Linked DNA regions of Notamacropus eugenii. The protein of the gene in region 2 purifies or fractionates together with the protein of the main gene of each other region. This does not show direct contact. Links are inferred from orthologs where the notes say so. Each region holds a gene or a part of one and is shown on either strand. Other genes may lie near its edges. The genes, in order: GADD45B, MAP3K4 and GADD45A.

The links.
Region 1: the proteins of MAP3K4 (region 2) and GADD45B purify together in Homo sapiens (co-immunoprecipitation; 3 studies listed by BioGRID and IntAct, counting the BioPlex papers as one, with this or other methods). This does not show direct contact. The link is inferred for Notamacropus eugenii from reciprocal best matches to the Homo sapiens genes MAP3K4 and GADD45B.
Region 3: the proteins of MAP3K4 (region 2) and GADD45A purify together in Homo sapiens (co-immunoprecipitation; 3 studies listed by BioGRID and IntAct, with this or other methods). This does not show direct contact. The link is inferred for Notamacropus eugenii from reciprocal best matches to the Homo sapiens genes MAP3K4 and GADD45A.

Annotation. Positions count from the first base shown.
Region 1 is NC_092875.1:63,541,971-63,549,746, forward strand, and holds GADD45B (growth arrest and DNA damage-inducible protein GADD45 beta), read right to left. Parts: upstream 3,289-7,776; 5' UTR 2,956-3,288; coding exon 2,912-2,955; intron 2,648-2,911; coding exon 2,546-2,647; intron 2,345-2,545; coding exon 2,122-2,344; intron 1,729-2,121; coding exon 1,615-1,728; 3' UTR 934-1,614; downstream 1-933.
Region 2 is NC_092873.1:254,422,956-254,430,467, reverse strand, and holds the start of MAP3K4 (mitogen-activated protein kinase kinase kinase 4), read right to left. Parts: upstream 3,590-7,512; coding exon 3,432-3,589; intron 1-3,431. UniProt on the Homo sapiens protein: Component of a protein kinase signal transduction cascade. Activates the CSBP2, P38 and JNK MAPK pathways, but not the ERK pathway. Specifically phosphorylates and activates MAP2K4 and MAP2K6.
Region 3 is NC_092873.1:528,183,045-528,191,724, reverse strand, and holds the start of GADD45A (growth arrest and DNA damage-inducible protein GADD45 alpha), read right to left. Parts: upstream 3,343-8,680; 5' UTR 2,986-3,342; coding exon 2,942-2,985; intron 2,381-2,941; coding exon 2,279-2,380; intron 1,865-2,278; coding exon 1,612-1,864; intron 109-1,611; coding exon 1-108. UniProt on the Homo sapiens protein: In T-cells, functions as a regulator of p38 MAPKs by inhibiting p88 phosphorylation and activity.

The DNA.
Region 1 (7,776 bases), on a different chromosome or scaffold from region 2:
TGACTCAGGCCTCCAGGGAAAGAGCCAGCAGCTGTAGGAAGTTGGGGGAGAGGGGAGGGTTAGACTCTGCCAGACAGGACTGGTGGGGGACAAAGGGGGGATCAGAAAGAGTTCACAAAAGCAGTTTCAGTTTCAAGGCCAACTGAAACAATCTCCTCTCTGCACATAAGAGTTCTGCAGAATTGAGGGGGAGGGAGGAAAGTCAATGCCTATCTCCCCACCTGCATGCAGCCTGCCACCTGTGTGACCACCTCTCTGGCTCTTTTCTCATCTGTAAACATCTGGACCAAATGAGCTCAGATCCACTCCCATCCACTTCTAAGATCTTATGAAAAGTTTCTGGACTCAAATCAGGAGATGCAGGCTCCAGTCCCAGGTCTTCCCACAAACTTTGCTACATGACCTCGGTTGGGCAAATCTCTTCCCCTGGGAGCTCATGTCTCTATTTGCAAAAAGGAGAGATAAAGGGAAGGGGCGGGGATAGAAAGGGGCAGTCGGGCTGTCTGTGGTAGATTTGCCACCTCTCCAATTTTGAGTTCTGCCTAATTGAGAACGGGGCAGGCGCCAAAGGAGACAGGTTTCTAAAGCTGCGCTCACGGGGCACACGCCACCGTGGAGAGTTGCTGAGTTTCGCAATAAACCGGTCCTTTAATTGCTGTGCCAAGGGGAGAGGGAGGGAAGAGAGAAGAGAGGAGGGGAAGGAAAAAAAAGAGTTAGGCCTTTGTTATTAGTTTGAGGCCTTGGCGCCGACCACAGAAACTGCAGTGTTTTTGCAAACGAGCAGCAAGTTACTCCTGAAGTGGTTTTTAACAGGGAGTTAAGACTTCCTGGTCTAAGGCTGCAGGACAACGTAGAGCTGAGCTCCCTCTGGGGCAGCTGAGCCGTGAAAGGGACTGGGGGAGGGGGCAGAAGAGCCAACACGTACAGGAGCCGGAGAGTGCAGAAATTTATTACCAAAGCAACATTAAACACACACACAAAAATAGAGCTATAGATATAAACTTTTCTTCTCTTTCCAAACGGCTCGATGAGTGCAACAACGTCAAAATATATCTGTATATGTATATTGTTTGCAGACTGGGAGCTCCTAAGCATACAGCAGCAGCAGCCTGTCCCAGGCTCCCGGTCCCAGTAGGTCTCTCTAGACCTCCCACCATCAAGTCTTGGTGGCAAATGCCAACTCCCATTTGCAACAGTTAACAGGTCATTGTGGCCGGCCGGAGGGGCAGCCCGACCATCTCGTCTCCATGCATAGTCCCTTAGTGGTGGGGGAAGGCAGGTCTTCCTCCTAATTCCCCGACCCAATCACTGGACTCCAGGCATCTGGATTCCAAGGCCCCATGGTCACCTTCTCGCTCTGGCTGGTGGATCTTCCTGAGGCCGACACAGTCCCACCTCTCAGCTCTGTCATTCCTGACCCCAGGCTCCACTAGGTCCTGACAGAGGTTGCAGGTGTTTCTTCACCCCATTTCAGCAAGAACATTCTGTCCCTTACACCTCTTCCCCACAGTGGTCTTGATGGTTGGGATCTGGTGTGGTTTGGGAAGGGGGGGGTTGTTTTTTTTTTTTTAATGTGTCTGCAAGGCAGCAATTTTCCAAGTTTGGGGAAGGCTATCAGCGCTCCTGGAGGGAGATGTTGGGGAGCCACTGGTTGTTCTCTCGGCTTTCCTCACAGTAGCTAGCCACTTCTACCAGTCCATGGCTCTTCCATGAGTCAGTATGAGGATTCTGAGGGGGTAAGAAAAATAAAAAGAGCATTAGGCTAAGGAGGCTCAAGTAAGCAGCACTCTTCCCTCCCCCTCCCCCATTCAGAAAAACAAGGCCCATCCCAAAATAGCAACAAGTTATGAGTTATAGGCCTGGCTGGGCGGGGATACCTGGGCATTGGCCCATGGGTGCCCGGAATAGCTCAGTGCTGAGCTGGCCAGGGCACGAGATGCCCTTTCTTCAAGCCAGATGGCAAGAGATGGAATGCTGAGCCTTGTTTCCCCACCTCCTTGTGTGAACCATGTTGACAAACAAAATAACTTCTCTCTCCCAGCAGGCCCTGAAGGTCCCCATCTATTTGTCCCAGTTGCTAAGTAACCCTGCCCCAAGCTAGGGAGGGACAAGCTCACCCACCGTGACCAGAAGGCAGTGCAGATCCCGGGACTCCTCGCTCTCTTCCGTGGGCCCCGGCTCCCCCAGCAGCTCGGCCAGCCTCCTCATCCCAGACACCCGAACTATATCTATGTCGTTGTCACAGCAAAAGGCCTGGATCAACGTGAAATGGATCTGCAAGGCGATGTCATCCTCCTCATCCTCATCGATAGCCAAAAGGCAAAGGACCACACTGTCTGGGTCTCTGAACACGGGGAAAGAGGGGAAGGAGAGGGGGAGAGAGAGAGGTGAGCAACCCTCGGCAAGGGAAGGGGCTCGCGCTCTTTGGTGGCATGTTGCAAAACTCCTACTGCACATTCGTAGGCTGTGCACCAGGGGAAAGCGGTACCCCATCGCCCACCAGCCCCCCACCCCGGCAGCATGAAAAAGACAGGCAGAAACTCACACATTCATCAGCTTAGCCGACTCATACACGCCCACTGTCAGGCGGTCTTGGCGCTGCGCCGCTACCAGCAACTCCTCCACCGCATGGCTCACCGTCTGCATCCTGGAGAGAAACCGAGGCACAGAGCGTAAGAGATCAGGAAAGGCGATGGGGTGAAGAAGAGAAGGGGCGACTGCAGATAGTCCTTTTCAGAGGTAGGGACCCCCTCCCCCTTGGACACTCAGAGAGGCGAAGGAATGGGTCCGAGGCCCCGCTCGGCAGCAAGGCAGCAACATTGGGAGCCCAGCCCAGGGAGGTCATCGGAGCCTGGGGCATCTATCTGTCCCACGGGAGGGAGGGGAATTCAACCCCCGGCTGGACACTCACTTCTGAGCCGCACTCTCGCAGGCTACGACTTCTTCCAAGGTCATGGTGCAATTGTAATCCACAGTGGAAGAAGCCCCCAAGTCAGTCGGTAACAGAAAAGCCGAGACCTCGAAGCCCAAATCGGCCGAGTCTGGAGCAAGGCGTCCCTCCGTCCCGAGAGAGGAGGTGGCGGCGGCGGTGGCAAGCCACGGGTGCCGAGGCTGAAAAGCCGGAGCAAGGAGGAGAGAATTCTTCAAAAAAACCCCCAAAACCCAAGATCCCCGAGTCAATGCGATTAATCCAGCGAGCAAGCGAACGAGAAGCGGCAGACAAATCCAAGCGGCGTTAAATCCAAGGCGTCCGCGAGATCCGCAACAGTTCCAAACCTCTACTGCCGCGGCTGCCGCCGCGTCCTCCTTATATGGCCTTCGATGGGAAAGGGGGCGTGGCCTAGCAGAAGCCTCCGCTGCGTTCATTGGCGGCCCGATCAACGAAAATCAAGGCAACTCTGGCTACTATTGGCTCGGGGTGCGGAGCAGCGGGCGGCTTTGGGCAGGCTCGGATCTCCCCCGGGGCAACCCCACGTGGGGGCGCGAGGCGCAGGAAGGGGGGGGGAGTAGCTGAGAACGGTTGGGTTTTTTTTTTTTTTAAAGGAGGTTTCGAGTGAGTTTCCCGGCAGCGGCTCCCAGTTTCTGCACGGGATTTCCACCGCGCGCCTAGTGCATGTGATTTTGCAGAAAGCTGCCTTCCGGAAGGAGAGAGCTGACTCGGTGACACCACTGCAGCCCTCCTGGCGCGTTCGTGTCCCAGTTCCCCCAGCCCCTGCACCCGGGCAGAGTTTTCAAAGGTAGTCTGCGCCGGAATCCCAGCCCGGCGTCGGGCTTCTTGTTCCCGGGCTCGGGGAGCCCAGTTCGACCAGCCAGCCCCTCTGCACGGCGCGCTTCCCCGAGCTGCAGCCAGAGCCTAAAGGGGGAGAGGGCTGGAAATAATCCAGCACCTTAAAGTTTATAAAGCGGCTGCACAGCCTTAATCGGCACTCCCCCCGCATCCCCTCCCCACATTCCTGCACTTATAGGTTTGCAAAACAAAGCATTTCACCCCACCCCACCCCCAACAACAACCCGGTCAAGTTAGCAGTGCGTGTATGAGCGCCTCCATTTCACAGACGAAAAAACTGCCTCTGACAAGTTAAGTGTCCTACCAGTCACACGGAAAGTGTGCACTCTTTTTCACTACACACCAAGAGTTATGCAAATGGTGTTTAATTTCATTTAACAGATGGGGAAACTGAGATTCTGGACAGGGAGCTGCTTGCCCAGAGACAGTATCAGAGCAGGGATTGAATCCAGGTTTCGATTAACACCGAGTCCCGTGGCCCTTTCTATGATCACGTCTGGGTGCCTACCTAAATTTGGAATCTGTGTGACCTGAGGCAAGTCCCTTCCCTTCTCCAGGCTCTAGTTTCTTCTGCAAAAGAAGCAAGGTGGGCTAAATGATCTCCAAGGTCCCTTCTAGCTCTTAGTCCTGGGATTCTGGAATTCTTTTCTGTCCGGATGCAATTTGTTTCTAGCAGAGAGGAGCCCAGTAATATCTTGCTGAGGTCCCCTAACTCATCCTAGACATAGGGCAGCTCCCTGAAAAGGCCTCCAAACGGTCTAAAAATAATGTTTCGAAGGGAGAGGGGATTTTCCCAGGACATCTAGCCTTGTAATAAAGAGGACCTTTTCTGGGATCTCAATAGCGTGGAACCTGAAAGTTGCCAGACGATTGTCTGGGCCGCCCAGGGAACAGCTTCCACCTCAAAGTCAGAGCCAGGGAAGGGGAAGAAGCCCCCCACGACTCGTAGGAAAGCGTATTAGACCGAGTCTTGGGCTCCAGGCTAAGGCCTTTATAGCTGAGTGAGAAAGTCACTCAAGGGCAATTCAGACTCTTGGAGACTTAGTTTTCTCATCTGGAAAATGGGGACAAATATGTGCAGTCTATGGATAGTGAGGGGAGATGTAAAGCTTAATGGTTGTTCTTCTGCACTGACAGTGAAAAGAGGCATGTAAGATGGGGCGAGGGGCAAGGGAAGGGTCCCTGGCTCCTCGCTTCCCCTAGGGTGGGTGGAGTGAGACACGAGAGCTGGAGTGGCTTCAGCCTTCGGGGCTGCTTCTCAGACAGCCCAGCGTGGCGCCAAGTAACGTTGGCGCACACTCTGCACAGCCGGGGACCCTGCCTCCTCCACTGTGGGTGCGCACAGAGTGCCTGGGGGCGGTGAGTGGGGAATGGGGGGAGCGAACAAGTGACGGCAAGCGTCCTCTCCGTCTGGGGCGATGGCGCCCTCTGCCGGCAACTCTCTGCTCCCAGTCTGGCGTTCACAGCCCCGAGCCTGGAGATGTGGGCGGAGGGGGTGGGTGGGGAAGGGGCGAGGATAAAAAGGTCTTAGAGTAGATTGTCAGAGCTGGGGGCGGGGGAGGGGGAGAGGAGGAAGACAGAACGTAAGAACTGAGAAGATTCTTAAAACACAGGCTGTCAGAGCTGGGAGGGCCCCTAGAACCCAGAATGTCAGAGCTGGATGGGCGCTTAGAACATAGAATGTCAGACCTTGGGGGTGTCCTTAGCACACAGAGCACTTAGAACATAGAATGTCGGAGCTGGATTGGACCCCTAAAACATAGAAAGTCAAAAATAAAAGATTTATAATACATGAGATAGAATGTCGGAGAGACCATGTAGTCCAAGTCCCTTACTTTTCCGAGGAAGAAACGGAGACCTCTGGGGGTGAATGGTCAAGGCAAGGTCACATAGCTCACAAATATTAGATCCAAGATTAAAGCCCTAATCTCCAGTCTAGGACTTCACCAGCTGCTGCTTACATTGTTAACATTATACCCTCCATGACCTTACTCAGTTTTCCTAGTGCCTCAGTTTCTCCCCTCTGTACAGTGGACAGGCTAAAGTCCCCTGGTCTGGCAAGGGAGGTGGACGGAGAGTCCAGAAGGCATCTAAATTCTGCTCTCAGATCTACTGCTGAATGGCTGAGTGGATCTTAGACAAGTCATTCTGGGTCTCTAAACCTTTTCAGAGTCTGAGGCCTGAAGAATTCACCGTATCAGTGTAAGGGCCGTGGTCAGTAAGGGCTCCATATGGACTACGACTCAAACTGAAGGGAATGTTTTGTCTGGGATAAGAGAAGACAGGATGTTTTCAAATACTTAAAGGGCTATCTTGTGGAAGCATATTGAATACAGGGCCAGGCCTGGAATCAGGAAGACCTGAGTTCCCATCCAGCCACAGACACTTAGCAGCTGTGTGACCCTGGGCAAGTCACTTCACTATGTTTGCCTCAGTTTCCTCATCTGTAAAACGAGCTGGAGAAGGAAATGAAAAACCATTCCAGTATGTTTACCAAGAAAACCCCAATTGGGGTCACAAAGAGTCAGATATGACTGAAAAATGACTGAACAGCAGCATTCAATATAGGGCTTACTATGTACCAGGCCCTGTGCTTTACAATTATGACTTCATCTGGTCTTACAACAGCCCGGAGAGGTAGGGGCTATTACTATCTCCATTTTATAGATGAGAAAACTGAGAGAAACAGAGGTAAAGTGACTTGCCCAGGGTCATACAACTAGGACAGGTCAGACCCTTCCTAACTGTGTAGACTTCCATTCCTGAAGGGTCTTTAAACAAACACTGAGTGATCATTATAAGGAATGTTAGATGGGATGCCTACTAAGGTGTGCCAGGTTGGACCTGATGCCCTACAAGGTCCCTTCCAACTCTGGGATTCAATGATTAGAGGTGAACATTGTAGAATAAGCCCTGGTTTTGAGATAGAGGACCCAAACGCAAACACCACGGCTATTAGAAAATTACCTATGCAGCTCTAGGCGTTAGCTTCATCTCTCTGGGCCTCAGTTGATCCATACGTAAAATGGGAGAAGGGAATGTGTGTTTGACTGTATGATATCTAAAGCTGCTTCCTGTTCTGACATTCTATCATTCTCAACTCTCAGGGATTTTTATTCTGAAGAGCTACTGCCCAGGCAGGAAACATGGTTCGCTAGTACCATCTGTTGGCCAACAAGAGTATTACCAGCCCAGAGACAAACTCAGGGTTTATAGCTGATGACAAGGGCAGAGCCCCCATGGGGAAATAAAGGGAAGGGAGGGAGCCCTTTGTGCAGAGGAAGGAAGGAGAGCCTGGCCCAGGTCTGACTGGGCCTGAAAGGGAGGATTGGGACTGCCAGGGGAAATTCCATTTAGGGGTGAGAGGGCAGGGGAGGAAGGGGAGGGGAGAGGAGGGTGGGGAAGGAGGTTAGGGAAGAGAGAGAGGGGAGGGGAGAGAGGGGAGGGCAAATGTCAAAGATCAGTCATGTGCCTGTATGGGAGAGGGAACTAATCACCTAGGGAGACCTAGTCAGCAAGACTGGGGAAGGATCATAGAGATCTCTGAGGTCATTTAGTGCTCCTCATTTTACAGATGGGCCCAGACTGGCCCAAGGTCTAAAGTTCTAAGTGTGAAAGATTGATTTTGGATCTAGACCCTCTGACTCTCCAGCCAGTTTTTTCCCTTTTCCACTATATGTTTCCATCCTCACTCATGTCAGAGCAAACTGCCCTCACTTTCTCCTGCCCCTTTTCCACTCCCCTCTTCATCCCCTCCCCACCTACCAAGCCTTCCCATGCCATGAGATCAAATGATGAACTAAAGAGGCTTCCTAAGGCTGGTTATAATGCAAAACCAAAAACCCCCTCTGGATTTGGAGAGACTAGGAATGGTGACTTGAGAACCTGATTGCCAACTTACAGGTAGGTTAGGTGATCCTGAGTAAGTCACACAGTCACTGACCTTTCTGGGCCTCAGATGTGGAATCACTAAAATGAGGTGGTTGGAC
Region 2 (7,512 bases):
ACCTCCTACCTCATAGTGGCAGCAAGATCGATCAATGAAGGCCAGAAGTCAGAAGGACCAGTGGTGTGTTCAAATAGAGCAGACACTTCCTAGCAGACTGACTCTAGGAAAGTCACTTAACCTTTCTCTGCCTCAGTTTACTCAAATTTAAAATGGGATAAAAGCAGGACCTACCTCAAAGGTAGTGAGGATCAAGTGAGATAATATTTGTAGAGTTTAGCACAGTACCTGGCACATAGCAGGCACTATGTGCCTGATAAATATTTGTACACTCTCTTCCCCTCCCACCTCCCTACCAGTGGTAGTGTTTTCCCTCCCTCGGTTATTACCTCCTTTTTACATTGTATATATCGGTATGTAAATAATTGTTTGCTAGTTGTTCTCCACTGGAATGTGAGCTCCTTGAGGGCAGGGATCCAGTTTTTGCCTTTCTTTGTATCTCGAGTACTTAGCACTGGACTAAAATCACAATCCATCTAATTCAGAAACTAAAGCTTCAACCAATGATTTGAGTTGCAGAGGGTGAAGAGCACATGACCTCAACCACTGGATGGGGTTAATTATCCTGGCAGATTACCAATAGTAATATCTTGCTCAAAATCAGCCTTCAGAGTTGTAAAGAGTGGCACGAAACAGCTAAGGGGACTAAGTCCAAATTTGTGGAGTGACATTTTACAAAGTTATTTTCTCCTACAAAATCAAATGGAAGGTTGCTTTGAATAATTTTGTTAAGAGCCCTTTGACTAAAGCAGACAAATATGTAAAGTATTCAGAAAACTTTTTTAAAAGCACTACCTTACCTATTAGTACCTATATTTTAGCCTTGTAAGGAAAAGTGACATCTCCCTGAAAACAAAATTAATGTTTTTTCTTTTGTTATCAGAGAATTAAATCACCTCAAAGGCATTTCTGTGTACAGAGCTCCTTGCCCTTTCTCCCTTGAAAATATTTTAACATTCACTCTTTTCAAAGTTTAACTTGATTATTATTCAAAACATCAATAATTTCTTTTAGCCATCAGGTATTGCATTAGCTATTTACTACTTCTGCAATGACCATGTTTTTCAAAAGCCCCAGTAAAACAGATAAAAATAACTCAAAAACTGCAGCCATGAACTTATCTCAAAAGAAACTTTTAAAGTTAAACAGATTCAAATGGAATAAAACCTGGGGTTTTTTCCTACGTATCTTCATTCCCACACTGCCCTATTATCATTTCTCAGAGACATTTTTCCTTAGTTTACTAAAGTGTGTCAAAGAGATGAAGTGGAATAGCGATCCACACAAACCCATCTCTGACTAGCGAATCAGACATATAACTGTAATAGTTGAGGCAACCAGGTGGTGCAATAGATAACAGAGCTGGACCTGGAGTCAGGAATTCAAATCAGGCCCCTAACGCTTATTGACTCCCAACAAGCCACTAATCTTGTATAAAATGGAAATAGTAATCACAACCATCTACCTGGGATTTTTGTGGAGATCAAATGAGACGATATTTGTAAACTGTTTTGCAAACTATATAGCACCATATGAGTGCTAGCAATGATTAGTTCTTTAAGGTATGCAGAGTAATTTCATTTAAGTTTCAGGAGAGGTAGGGTTATAAATGCAGACCTTGATTTCAAGTCCAGCACTAGCCACTAAACCATTCTTAACTTGATTTCTTTCTAAATCTAGTCCCTCCTTTCCCCCTGTATTCTTATTTCTTGAGTCAGGAAGGAAAAAAGAAATACGGTTACCTATCTGCTCCTGATTCACTATGTTAATTAATCATCCTAAAACTCAGATCAAACAAAGTCATCCCTCCTCTTCACAGAATACACTCCCTATCACCTCTAGGCTCTTTTAGGCATTCAAAGCCCTCCAAAAACCTTTCCTTTGCCCCAGAACATTCTGCAATCCACAGACACAAACCTCCCTGCGGTTCCTCCCACAGGGCACTACATCCCAAGGCTCTGGGCATTCTTAATGACTGTTCTCCAAGTCCTGGATATCCTCCCCTTCATCTTCTCCTCCTACCTTCCCTGGTTTCTTTGAAGGAGCAGCAAAATCTTATATTTTACAAGAAGTCTTGCTTGATCCTCTGTAATCCTAGTGCCTATCCTCTATTATCTCCAAATGATTCTTTCTACATTCTGTTCCTAGACGTTTTCATATTCTCTCCAAGAAATCAACATCTCGAGGACAGGGAGGTGGCTTTTGCCTTTCCCTGGTGCACTTAGCACAGTGCCTAGCACATAGTAAGCCCTTAAAAAATGTTTCCTGACTTGAAATAACTAGCTTGCCAAACTAAAAAGATGCATAGAATAAGTTAAGTACTTACAACGTGGAAAGACAGGGGGCAGTACTTCGAAAACTCACTCAGCAGCAGGGCAAGAGGAGGATACTTTAATATGCAAGCATAGGTACAAAAGGAAAAGTGTGTTTCTTATTCCAGTACTGTGAGTTTGAGCACCTCCACTAGAGTCCTATTCCAAGGATTCATCGTGGCCCGGGGATGACCCCGAGCTCCAGCTAAGAGCAAGCTCCAGCAAGTCCAGCAAGGCACAGCCTCCCAAAGGGCTGGCCTAGCGAAGTTCCAGACCATCATCCCCACAAAGTTGGCCACCAGGTGATGAACTTCTTTGGAAAGGAGTGCACAGAGGGGTTCAGCGCCTAGTCGCACGGAGAGGGTACCCAAACTCATTTTAAAAAATAACCTTTTGATGCACCAAAGAGTTCGTGTAATTTCTCTCTCAACTAAAAAAAAGGGCAAGAAATCATCACGGTCACCGACGGATGCAAGAGGTAGCAGACTGCACGGCGGCTCGGTGGGTACCCAGGCTGGCTGAGGTGTTCGTGCCCAGACAGAGGGTGCGTGACGTGACTCAAACGCGTGTACCAGTTCGTTCGCACACTCGGTCCTCAAAGCACAAAAGGCCCCAGTCTAAATGCTGACTGCTGGGTACCCAAGAAGGAAAGAAAAAAGGGGGGCCAAAGGCTGCCCCGCGGACTGCTGGCTACCGGGGGAGGCAAGCGGGGGGCGCCCCAAGTACTTCAAAACGTGAAGGCCAGAAAGAGGGGGCTGCACATTCCCTTCCAGATACATCCGCCCCCTCTAACGGGGGAGGGGGGAGCGCGCCGCGGGGGTAAAAGCGAAGAGAAACCCACTTTTCACAAGTGCCCTGGGGAGAGAGAGAGCGTGCTTCCCCTCCCCACCTCGCGGGACCCAGTCTCCTGGCCCAGGACCAGTCGCCAGCACGCCCGCTCCCCCAATAAGGGGGGACCGAGGGGGAGCCCCGCTAACGAGCAGCACCTGAGCGGAGCGACCCCCCCCTCCGACCCCCCTCCCAGTTACCTGGCGGGAAGCACCAGCTGCAGCTGCCCCCGCCCCCGCAGCCTCCAGCCAGAACCCGGGCTGGCGCTGCAGGCGCCGCCGCAGTCCTTACCTCGCCGCCTGGCAGCCCTCCAGCTCCAGCTGCAGCTCCGGCGGCGGCGGCGGCGGCGGCGGCGGCGGCGGCTCCTCCATGGCGGTGACGGCGGCGGCGGCGGCGGCGGCTCCGGCGGGAGGGGGGACCAGCTCGGCGGCGGCCACGGCCTCTCTCATCCGTGCACCGAGCCCGGCATGGCGGCGGCGAAAGAGAGGCTGCAGCCGGGCACAGACTGGAGGAAGCACGGGGGTCGGGAGGCTCGCTGGACGCCGTCTCCGCCTCTATCCGGCGGCGGGAGCCCTTCGGCCCGGGAGCGTCCGCGCCGCGGCCATCTTGGAAACGGCGACCAGCCTAGAGAGAGCCCGGCTACGGCGGGCGTCGAGGGACAAGCCTCCCGAGGGCGGCGACGCGGGCGGCTGCTGCGGGCTCTGGAATTCCACGGGGCGGAGAAGACGACCGGGGAAGGGAGGGGCAAAGGGGAGGAGGGACGCAGCGGGGGGGGGGGGGGGGGGGGGGGGGAAGAGCTGGAGTTGGGGCGGGGGGGCCCAGTCTCCAGGCCGGGGGCCCGCTGCGGAGGATGCTAGGAAAGCGTGCCGGGTGTCACCGGGAGCTCGGGTCCGGGTGGCCGGGCTTTCCTGGGCCCCTGCTGGGCGATCCCGGTCACTTTCTGTAATCTACAAGAGAGGAGGGAGGTGACGAGCCTGAAGGCTGCAGGGTATTTACTGAGACTTCTGATTGCCCAGATCTGGTCGTTATGTCTCAGGAATGGTGGAATGCCATCAAAGGGGAGCCCGTCCGCGATATTATTACCACATTTCCTAAATAAGATACTATTTTAGAGGCAAACACTAGAAGCAAAGTAAGGGTCGACCTTGCCACCGTGGCCAAGTAATGCTTGTGCCTTGGGAAGTTTCGAGTCTTTGCAGATCTTTGCAAATGAGTCCCCGCCACACCTACAGATGGCAGATTCCCCCCCAATTTACGGGCAGGGAAAGTGAAATCTACATCACCCCGGCGCCCCCCGCTGTGCGAGAGGCCGGCCGGGGTGGAGTTGGATGGGCTGAAGTCAGCGGCACCCTTCTGCTCCAAAGCAGGGTTTTTGAGAAACGATTTTAAACTGATACCCCGGGGGACCTAAAAATGCGTGCCACCACCCGAGACCATTAAATGAATCGAGCAAAGGGCCCAATGAAAAAACACTGCTGCCGGATCCATTAAGGAGCTGTAGAAACAGTCCGATCCACAGCAGAAAGATAAGCTTGCCCAAGAGGATGTCGGAGCATTTTGCAAAAACTTTACATTTAAAGCATTTTTTAATCGCCCCGCTAAACATTTTTTAAAAGAAATGATAATGACATTTTTCTCAATTTCTGGTTTGTGAAAATTAATTCTGCACTTTTGAAAAATAATTTTTCTTTTGTTTTAACATCAGCTAAATTCCATCTCCCATCTCCCCCCACTCATTTTTTTTAAAGAAAACAGGAAAAAATCAGCAAAGTCGATCAACATTTTTTAAAAATTTTATAGTTATATGGAATAGTGTATATTTATATGCATTAGTCAAATTAATATACACATATATGTACAATCTTCTGCACCTTGGACATCTGCAAAGGTATTGGGGAAGATCTTTCCTATCTTTTTTAACCTTTTTTTTTAATTAAATATATTTTCTCTCTCTCCCAAATTCCATCCTACTGGAAAAAAGAAAAAAATCCTTTGTAACAAGTTTGCATAGTAAAGAAAAACAGATTCCCTCCTTGGCCATGTTCAAAAAAGTATGTTAGTCTGTACACTTAATCTATCACCTCTTTGATAAGGAGGTGGATAACTTATTGCATCAAGAATCAAGCATACTTATAACTACAAAATTCCTACAGAAACTCCAGGACGTACTTTTTACGCAAGTCTCATTAAAAAAATTCTTGTTTGAATGTAACGATATTAGATTTGAACCATCAGCATTTTCCTGGATGTGCAATTAACTGTTTAACATTCAAAGTCTACAACACTTTTCCCTGTAGTTAGAGAACATGCATTTCTATTTCCTGTCTTGATTTATTAGTTGAACTATATTCCTACAATGGCATTCATGAAATTTAGATACATAAATTCATTTTAAGAATCATTGTTCATCTATGATTTCATACAGAAAACAAAAAGATTTATAAAAATCATGAAGATTAAAAAATTGACTGTTAAGTATAATTTATTTCCAATTCAGAATAAGGCAAAAATGATTTTTGTAATAATGATTTTTCTGATCTGTACGAGGGTCACTAAATTATTTTTTAAATTCCATTATAACAATAACAACTCATTTATACTTCCTTTTAAGGTTTTCAGTTTCAACAACTTTGTGAGGTAGGCAGAATCCAAAGTACTCTACTGGTCTCATTTTATGTATGAGAAGTTAAATGACTTGCTTGTGACTGATAAAATAAGAAGTATCAGAGCTAGGAATGAAAGCTGGGGGACCATTACCCTTTCTACTATACCACCCTGCTGCAGCAATTGGTTGTTTTCTCTTATGTTTTTTAACAAGATCAAATGTCACAACATTCCATAAGGTTTTCCTAAATAGTTTTAGTAAGTAAAGCCATATATGCCTTCACTTTTTTGTTTATCCCACCAAAGCTAGGAAAAATAAAATTTTTTCTTCTTTGAATGGATGGATTGTCAAGATTGTTCTGTGATGTACAATCATTTGAATGTAGTATTCCTTTCTTTTCAAATTAATTATATTTAGCTTAATTCCTGAAGTCATTCAGTTTTTTCTTCCCTGGCTCTGTAATAAAAAAAAAAAAATATGTGTACAATGCTCAATACAATATTTTTAAAATAATTATTATAATTATCCTTCAATTCATCAAATATTTATTAGGCAACCACTCTTTGCAAGGAGTTTATACTGAATTATGATCATTTAACCCTTTGAATCCTAAATTGAATTAATTTAATATTTTAATATTTGAGGGATAGGATAAAAGACCAATAAAGGATTAAATATAGGATTTAGAGCTTAAAGAGTCTGGACTGAACAAATAGGCCCAGAAACTTATGTAACTGCCTGTAGTCAAAAAGGTAACAGCAATATTCTGCTTCCTTGACATATCCCACATACTGTGTTCCCATGACCAGTAATTACAGCTCCCTTTTATCTAGCACTTGAAGGGTTTTCCTTACAACCCTGTGAGGTAAGTTTTATAAATGTTATTATTCACATTTTATAGGTGAATGGTTAAATGACTTGGCCACTGTCATACAGCCAGGATCAATGTCATTAAACCTATACCTGGCCTCAGATACTGTGCTGTCACCACTATATCATACCTCCTATCTAAGTTCATTCTAGACACCCAAATAAGAAGGCTCATTGCTCAGTGGATAGAGCATTGACCCACCCTATAGTCAGGAAGAGCTGAGGTCTAATTCAACCTCAGATATTCACCCGTCGTGTGATCCTGGACAAGTCACTTAACCTCTGTTTGCCTTAATCCACTAAAGAATAAAATAGCAAACCATTTCACTCCAGTATCTTTGCCAAGGAAACCCCATGGAAACCAACTGTCTACAGGGTCCTGAAGAGTCAGATACACAACTGAACATCTACCTTTATTTACATAATTAACTTTATTAAGTGCTTATATTTACTCAAGGGAGTAAAATCTGTCAAATGAGCAGGAGAAGGAAATAGCAAACCTCTCCAGTATCTTTGCCAAGAAAATTGCTGATGGGGTCTCAAAGAGTCCATCACAACTGAAAAATGACTGAACAACAACAAAAATATACTCAAGGGAACCTAGTAAAGGACAATCTTTATTTTATCTTCAATTAAATATGATTACTGAATGCATGGCACCATTTTCAGTTCAATCTCTTCCAATCACTCTGTCTCCAGAATAGGGACTGATGTGACTCTAATTCATGTGACTACTGATACATGTAGTATAGTGGAAAGACCATTGGCCTAAAGTCTAGTCCTAGCTCTCCCATTTTCTGGCTATGTGACATTGAGCAAGTTATTTAATCTTACTGAACTTTAGTGTCTTCATCTGTAAAATGGGAGTAGAGAAATATCAATTAGTCTCATAAATTC
Region 3 (8,680 bases), about 270 Mb from region 2:
CTCAGGGAGGTTAATCACTGGGACCCACTGATCCATGTATCGGCTTTCCCGGCAAAAACAAATAAGTTGACTTAAGGCCGGATCCTTCCATTGAGAGGAATGTGGATTCTGGAAAGAAATGAATACTTCAAGTTAAAAAACTGGTAATGCATTTTTCAAAACCCAAGCAATTTGCTAATAATAACCAGGACACGGTCTGTGCAGGGGAAGAGGAACATGGGGAGTTCTATTTCCTACTAAGTGTCTCAGAGAAATAAATTAACGTAAGGCTTCCCCACCCACCACCGATGGCCCGAGGGGTTGCTATGGGAAACGCCCAGAAGCCTCGGGTTAATTTCTTGAAGGGGGGGCGGGGTGTCACAGGAGAAATCTGAACCCAGGGCTCCCAGAATCGGAAGGCTGGGCTGGGCTCCACTCCCCCCACCACAATCTCTCTCTAGGCAGCCTTACAAAACATTACAAAAATATCCGCTATCGTTACATTTTTCCTGGAGTTGATCCAAGCATCTCAAAGGCCCTGTTCTCCGGTGGGAGCACAAGACCGGCCACACACAATCGTGGGTTTGCATGAGTGATAACGATCTGTCCATATGAATGACCTCCTCCAGCACTACAGCGGACTGAACCCTAGGTGGCCCCGTTCTTTGCACATGAAAGCAGAGAAGTAGCAATAAGCTACTAGAAGGCAGAGGATTTTTATTTTTCACGGTTACAGATGGCACCTGGAGCTGTGCTTTTGGGGCATCTCTTTTAAGGACTAGGGTAGAGGGTGGCCACAAGCATGAGCTCACACGTTCAAAGCATCAGCTCGATTTCATAATAGTTAAACTACATACTTCTTGCGGCACTTAAAAAAGAACAGAGCCAGAAAAAAAAAAACAAACCAAGCTGTTTATTCTCTGGCTAGCTTTAAAAAATTGATATTTAAAAGGCCAAAAATAAGTGGAAACCAGACCTTCCCAGATCAATGAAGGAAGATGGTTCGATGGTCTCCTTCCAACTCCAAATTTACGCTCCTCTGCTCTTTACCTCTAAACTCAGGACTTGCCTACCCTCCAACAGGCATGAAGGTTAAAAAAAAAAAAACCCTCCCTTTTTCAAAAAATGCAAGTTTTCAGGGAAATTTTCCACTGTCCTCCCCAATGGATTTCCAGGGAATTAGCAACGTCTGCCTCTTTCTTCCCCCCCCCCCCCCCCCACAGTGTTCCTATTTATAGCTTGGACTGGCAGAGAATGGAGGTGACTCCTTAATGAGGGTGAGCCAGGAATTCACTTGGCTTTATCTAATCTGCACTGCTAAAAGAATTAGTCACGGGAGGCGGACGGACAGAAGGAGGCCGCTGGGCGCCCGGGGCGCTGACTCATGCCCAGCGATCTCTTCCGAGCCGGCCAGGCAGCCCGGGCACTGGGGAGAAGCAAACGAGTTGGGGCATGTTCTGCGCTGACAAGAGTCCTGATGATGAAACCAGCACCTTTCGGTTCAAAGTCCAGCCGGCCTTTGAAGTGGGGCAAAAGGCAGCCCCCTCCCCCTTGGGTGCCAGCGCTGGCTCTCGGGGCGGCCATCAGGTGACGATCAGGTGGAGGCCGCCCATCCCCCTCCAGTTCACTTACCGTCACCAGGACGCAGTGCAGGTCCGGGGGCTGCTCGGCTCCCCCGCCCGAGGCTGTGGCGGTGGCCGAGGCCGGGCCACCCGTGCCCAGCAGCAGCAGCTCGGCCAGGCGCCCGGGGTTGCTGACCCGCAGGATGTCTATGTCATTCTCGCAGCAGAAAGCCTGGATGAGGGTGAAATGGATCTGCAGGGCCACGTCCCGGTCGTCGTCCTCGTCTGCGGCCAGCAGGCACAGCACCACGTTATCGGGGTCCCTGCAGCGAGGAGGGGCACCCGGACGGTCAGGGCCTGGGGGAGGGGGCGGGAAGGGCTCCCCCACACACACACACTGGCAGCCCGCAGAGCCCCCACCCAGCACGCCCGAGGAGCTCCACAGATGCACGCACACACAGGCAGGAGGGCAGCCATGCCCAGCCGCCAGCTCCGTGACGCAGGCACACGCGTGCCCACCACGCAGGGACTCGCTCCCACACGCATGCACCCAGCGGCCCTATCCCAGAAAACTACAGATAGTGGAGTTCCCAGAAAAGGAAAGGGCAGACAAAAAGGGAGGGGGCGGTGTGGCAGAAAAGAGTATCCCCGAAGTGGGGCGCACGGTAGGGAGGGGAGGAAAGTGGGGCGCGGAGGGGGAGGGGAGACAGGTGCTCGCCGCCCCCTCCCCCACTTACACATTGAGCAGTTTCGCCGCCTCGTAGACCCCAACCGTGATACTCCGCTGACTCAGGGCTTTACTGAGAACCTCCTCCAGGGCATCCCCGACCTTGTCCATCCTGACAGCGGGCACAGGGGAGGCAGACCCGTCAGTCACACCCGGGGGCAGGTTCAGGCTGGGTCCTTACCCCCTCAGCCCCACCCCCATGCCCATGCACACAATTCCACAGCCAGGCATCCCCGGGGGTCACGAAACTGGGCATTAACTTCTGCAAACCCGACTCTCCCCCCTACCCCCCCACCAGCCCCGCACTTAGCTTGTCACCTCCCCGCCCTGCCCTCGCAAGCACCCACACAAGCGTGCCCACGACCAAGTCCACATGCACGGGCCGGTGAGAAAAGTGCCATTTCCCACTCGCCGCCCTCCCCACACTGGGGACATTTCCTGTCCTCGGAACTCAGCCCACACCCCAAACTGCAGACCGCAGAAGCCACGGGCGGGGGCGGGGGCCCCCCCACGGGGCCCGGCGGGGGCTTCTCCAGCTGGGGCTCCTCCAGCTGGGTGCCAGGGGGCAGCGGTTCTGCCAGCCCGGTGGTCCCCCACCCCTGCTCGCGCTTAAGGCAGAGCGGTCCAGCCCCTGCCCTTTTCCCGACAGGGCAGCGCTGCCCCCCCAGCTCACCCTTCAGTTTTCTGTTCTCCGGCCGCGAATTCCTCCAAAGTCATATTGCTCTGGCAGGTCCGGTCCCCGTCCCCCCCCCGCCCCCCCGCAGCGCGGCGTGCGCTGCAGCAGCTGCTGCCCCTGCCCGGCTGCCCTGCCCCGGCTGCCGCCCGGGTCCTGGCGCCCCGGCTCTGAGCTGCCCGCCTGGCCCGGGCTGTGCACCGGTTGCACCGGCTGCAGCAGCAGCGCCGCCTGGCTCCCTCGCTCCGGCCCGGTCGCCCTGGGGCCGCCGCCGCCTCCTCTCTGCCGGCGGCGGATCGCTCGCTCCCTAGTCCACCCGCAGCCTCAGGACGCACCAACAGACTGAAGCTGCTCCACAGCCGGTGAAGGACAAAGAGCCCGGCTCCGCGGCGTTATCCTACCTACACCCAGCCAACCAACTCCAGCCTTATTTGCATACGACTCACCCATTGGAAGATGCAAATCAACCCTCTCAGGCAATTTGACCTTCTCGCAGAGGCCTAGCCGGAGAGAGCCCCGCGGAAAGGGGCGGTGCCTGCAGGGGGCAGGACCCGAAGGGGGCGTGGCTGGGGGGGGGCAGAAGGCCTCCCGAAGGGGGTGGAACACGCTCCGCCTCGCCCTTCCCATTGGCCCTGGGCGGCTGAGGAGGAGGAGCCTGGAGCGGAGCTGGGCAGGGTAAGGGAGTCCGTCCATCCCGCGGAGCCGGGGAGGTTTCAGGTGTCTCGCTGGCCGCGCACGTTTTTGTCCGCGTTGGTTTCGTGCCCTTTTGTTCCAGAGGCTCGCTCCTAAATGCCCTCTGCGGGGCTCATGCCTCCGGTAATTATTAGCGAGGGCAGGCCCCACGTAAAAAGAGAAAGGAGGGTGGCCAGCCCTCAGGGGCGAAGTCCGCGCGCCAGGGCTGTTTGTGCCAGTCTGGGCAAGGGTGCTTATTATTAGGGCGAGGATCTCGGTGCCACCGTGGCTGCGTGGGCCTCTTTGGGGCACCGGGTGCTCGGGGGGGGTGCTGGGGAGCAGAGGTCGGCTCCCTTCGGGGGCCTCCCAGCTGCCAGAGGAGAGGGGCATGGGCTTGCGGGTGGCTGGCGCAGCCCCGGGTCCCCTTTGGCATTCAGAGCTGCTCTCAGCTCTGAAAAATGCATGCCCCCTGGCACCGGAGCAGTGCCCTGAGCCCCCCTGTGTGTGAACTCGGAGCCCAGGGGAGGCTGGCTCACTGCAGTTACACATTTTGTAAAAATAATAATAATAACTGGAAAGTTAGGCAGCTGATGTTGGGTGGCATTTTTTATAGCGCTTCAAGGTTTGAAAAATGCATGTTATCTCCTGTGATGCTCGCGACAGCCCTGGAAGATGGGCGCTGTTATGATACACATTTTACAAATGAAGCCAATGAGGCTGAGAGGGATGGAGTGACTGGCCCAGGGGCACCCAGCTAAATGTGAAGGGTGGACTTTGAACCTGGGGCTTGATAATATAAGTTAGCACTTGGCAAAGGCCTCCCTGAGGACTTTGGGAGGTAGGCACTATTATCATCGTCATTTTACAAATAAGGAAATTGAGGCAGACGATGTGACTTACCCAGAGTCAAACAGCTAGCAAGCCCCAAGGTTGACACCGGATCTGGGTGCTCCATCCATTGTGACACCTAGCTGCCCTTCTGGCTCCAAACCGAGGACTCTGCCTTTCTATAAGATGACCTTACTTCTTGGGAAATGGGAGTGATTGCCAAAGCTACCTTCTATGGTGGCAGGGGGTCAGATGGGTAAGAAATGGGGAAACTGAGACTGAGAAAAGCAAGCTGATTTTTCTAGAGTAACAGAGCTGTCAGGGGTGGATTTTGCACCCACGTCTTGCTGTATGAAACCTCCTTGGACATGATGCCTCTTGGGAAAGGGGAGATACTACCATCAAGGCCTCATCCAGTTCTGAAAGGATCAGCTCCTTTCTCCAGCCTTTCCCACCTTATTCCCTTGGATATGCACGGTTTTATTCCCCAGAGCTCCTCTATATCCCTCTACTTTTCAGTTGGTGCTACTGTTATAATCATGCCCATTTTACAGATCATGAAAACTGAGGCTGACTTGCCCACAGATCAAGGATTGGAAGAGACCTCAGAAACCATCTCATCCACCCATTCATTTTTTAGCAGATGAGGAAACCAAGGCCCTAGGGTCACCTAAGTGACATGCCCAAGGTCACCCAGGTAGTAAAATGTCTGAGACAAGATTTATCCAAGCCTTACTCCGTTCAATCCAACATGCATTTTAAAGTACCTACTATGTGCCTGAGGCTGCTCTGGGCTTTGACAGCTTTCTCAGACATTCTGATGCCCCTGTTTAAAATATCAGCGTTCACAGAATGATCTAAATGCACATGTGTACAAAGCTATTTCTTAGACCATCTAAATTCCCCCCAAATAATGAAAATGCTTCCCTGGGGCTGGTAGGTCATAACAGGGCTGGTGTGACTGTGGTCACTGCGTGGGCAAAGGTAGAGACGTTTGGCTGGGGAGGGGGGCTGCTCCCCCCACCATGTTTATGTCTTCCTTGATAAATTGCTTAGGGTTCTGTTGATCCTGATATGATGGGGAGAGGCTGAAAGTGGGTTACACTGAACATTCAGCGGGTGATTCCTGCCCTGGCCTTGAGCTGCTTTTTCTAAGTGAAAGAAAACAGATGAAGAAAAGGGAGAGGGAGGCGGGTCTCCCATGTATCTTGCGTGGAGATCAGCCTCTTGGGACTTGTTGCCCCTGCTTATCCCACATCTCATCTTATAACAGTGACAGTTTTCTTCTTTTAATAATATTTTACTTTTTTCCAATTATGTGTAAAGACAATTTTTAGCATTTATTTTTTAGCACTAAAGCATTCAAGTTTACAAAGCACTTGACCATTATTATCTCATTTGATCCTCCCTACAGTCCCTGGGAGGGAAGTGTTATCATATGCCCATTTACAGATGAGGAAACTGAGGAGACAGCCCAGGGTCACACAGCTAGGAAGTGACTGAGGCTCAATTTGAACTCAGGTCTATCCGAACTCCAAGCCCCTCCCAGGTACCTCTGGAACCCAACCATCCCCGCTAGATTCTTCGGCTCCTATCATATTTCTGAAACTTTTGCCCGGGTCTTCATGTACACTGGCACCAACCTGGTACAAGCCCTTTTAATAACTTCCTAGACTGTCACAGCAGCTCCCAAACGTCTTACTTTTACTCCACCCCACCTCCAAGCCATAGAAACTGCTGCCTGACTGTGGTTCCTTAAGCATTGATCTGGTGATGTTTCTCCTCCTGTGGTCAAAATCCTCCCCTGGCTCCCTTTTGCCCACTGAGCCAAGATCAGACTTCCACAGTCTATACTGCCTGGCCTGTCTACTCATTTTATCTTGTCCTACTCACCTCTGTCCACCAGAAAGAACTCCACACCTCACTCAACTGTGAACTCCTTGAGGGAGGGCAGGGAAGGCAGAAGTCTTTGCCTTTCTTAGCTCAGTGCCCCCCCCAGACCCCCAAAGTAAGTGTAAAATAAATGCTTGTTGCTTGACTGACTGACCTCTAGCTAACCTAGAGGATTTTCTGGCCCAAAGTGTCCTAACAGTTGTATACCTTGGCTCTAGCCAGGGCTCTAGCCCTATACTCGGCATTTCTTCTCCTCCTTCTCTCTGTCTTTTTTTTCTCTCTTTATCTTTCTGGTCTCTTCCTCTGTCTCTTTCTGTCACCTCTGTCTCTCTGTGTGTCTCTGTCATCTCTCTTTCTCTCTCTGTTTCTGTCTCTCCTAGAGTATTATTGGTTTCTCCCTAGGTAGAGGGGGACTACTGCATCAGGAATTCTGGGTCAGGTGTAGAACCAGAGGACCTTGGGTCCCTCCCACCTCTGAGATTCTGGGTTTCCATGATGTGGTTTCCATCCCACCCCTTCAGTCTATATTCTGCCCCTCTCAGGGTCTCTGCATCCTCCTCTGAAAAGTGGGCCAGCTGGATGACCTCTTGGGTCCTTTCAAGCTCCAAAGATCATGACATATAACATAGGACACATGCATTGTGACAAGAAATGACTTGAGGTGCTCAGGGCACTTTGTTAGCAGGCTTTTCTCTGCCCCCAGATCCACTGTCCCCTTTCAGGAAAGGCATGTGCTGGAAGTTGTTTTATCACCTTCGCGTCATTACTGGGCCAAGCTCCAAGGCTTCCAGTATTTCATCAGTGCTCATTTGCTGTGATTTCTAGCTCAGATGTTCACTTACATCATCCCTGCCCTGTGCTGCTGAATTCACCCAGCACCATTTCATCCCTCCCTGTCTCCTGGATATAGGACCCCCCCTCCTCAGTGTCCCACAAACAGGTTGTGAGGCAGCGAGCCATCACATCACTCCAAGAGTACCAAGACCTGATGCTGGTACACCCACTGGAGCCTCACAACTATCCCAAATGGGTACTGCTGCCTATATGGTGATGCCCACTTTACAGATAAGAGTGAGGCCCAGAGAGTTGAACTAACCTCTCCAAGGCTACATGGTGAGAAAGAGCCAGAGGTGGGGATTTGAGCCCTGGACTTCCTACCTCTCTAACCCCTGTGCACCACAGCCTGTTTAGGTGTAGCAGTGGTGCAGTAGCCCCTCTAGATGGGGCATAAAAATTGCTAGTTAGGTGATCAACTGATTGGCAGGCTTTTATTAGCCAGGCACTGTGCCAGGAGATTTCGCCCCAAATGGTCCCTGCTCTCAAGAGGATGGAATTCTATCAGAATAAGTACATTAAGTTATCGAGCAATTTCCCTTCCCACGACTGAATGAGCATTGATTAAGCACCTACTGTGTGCCAGGCACCAGGCTAAGGAGGTTCTGATGTTTTACTTAGAAGTGACATTAAATTCTGACTCAATAAATTTTGACACTGTTAGCTGTCTTAAGAGAAGAGGTGTTGGACTTGGAGTCAGGAAGACCTGGGATCCAAATCCTGCCTCTGATTCTTATTAACTGGGTGACCGTAGTGGGGGGAGGGGGCAGCTTAAACTCTCTGGGTCTCAGGACCTCTCTGCATTTTCGTTTTTCAGGTAATCAGGACTAAGTGACTTGCCCAGGGTCACATAGCTACTAAGTGTCTGAGGTCAAATTTGAACTCAGGTCCTCATGACTTCAGAGCTGGTGTTCTATCCAAGTTGCCATTAGCAAATGCCTCCTGGGGCCTCTTTAAGATTTACCTTCTGAGTCAGTGGTTTTCCAGGACCATTTCTGGGTATCTTCAAGGTCAAAATTATTTTCATAATAATTCTAAAATGTTTTAACTTTTAATCTGGTAAATATCTATCAGTACTACTTGTAATTCCAGTGCCTCCCCTCTGTTCTCTGCTTCCCATTTATCCCCTATATAGCTCGATTTGTATTTATCCCTAGTGAGCAACTGCTTTTATTATCCCCATACCACAGCTGTGGAGCCTGGGGCTCGGAGAGATATCCTTCCTGGGGTCACCCAATTATTGAAATGTGTCAAGGATGGGATTTGAACCAGGGTCTGCTCCTGTCTCAAGTTAGTGTTCTATCCACTGTGCTCCAGAGAGAAACAAAAATGCTCCTGATGCTTGTTCCTTGCCCTGACTAGTCCTCCTTAGAAGAGAAGATTCCTTCTACTACCCTAAATGGAGAAGCTGCCAGCTCCCCGGTGTCCTGTGGCATTGGGGTTCACTGATCAGTGATGAGGCATCATCTGCTTTCTCATTAGCACCAATGAAGTCAATGTCCATACCAGGAG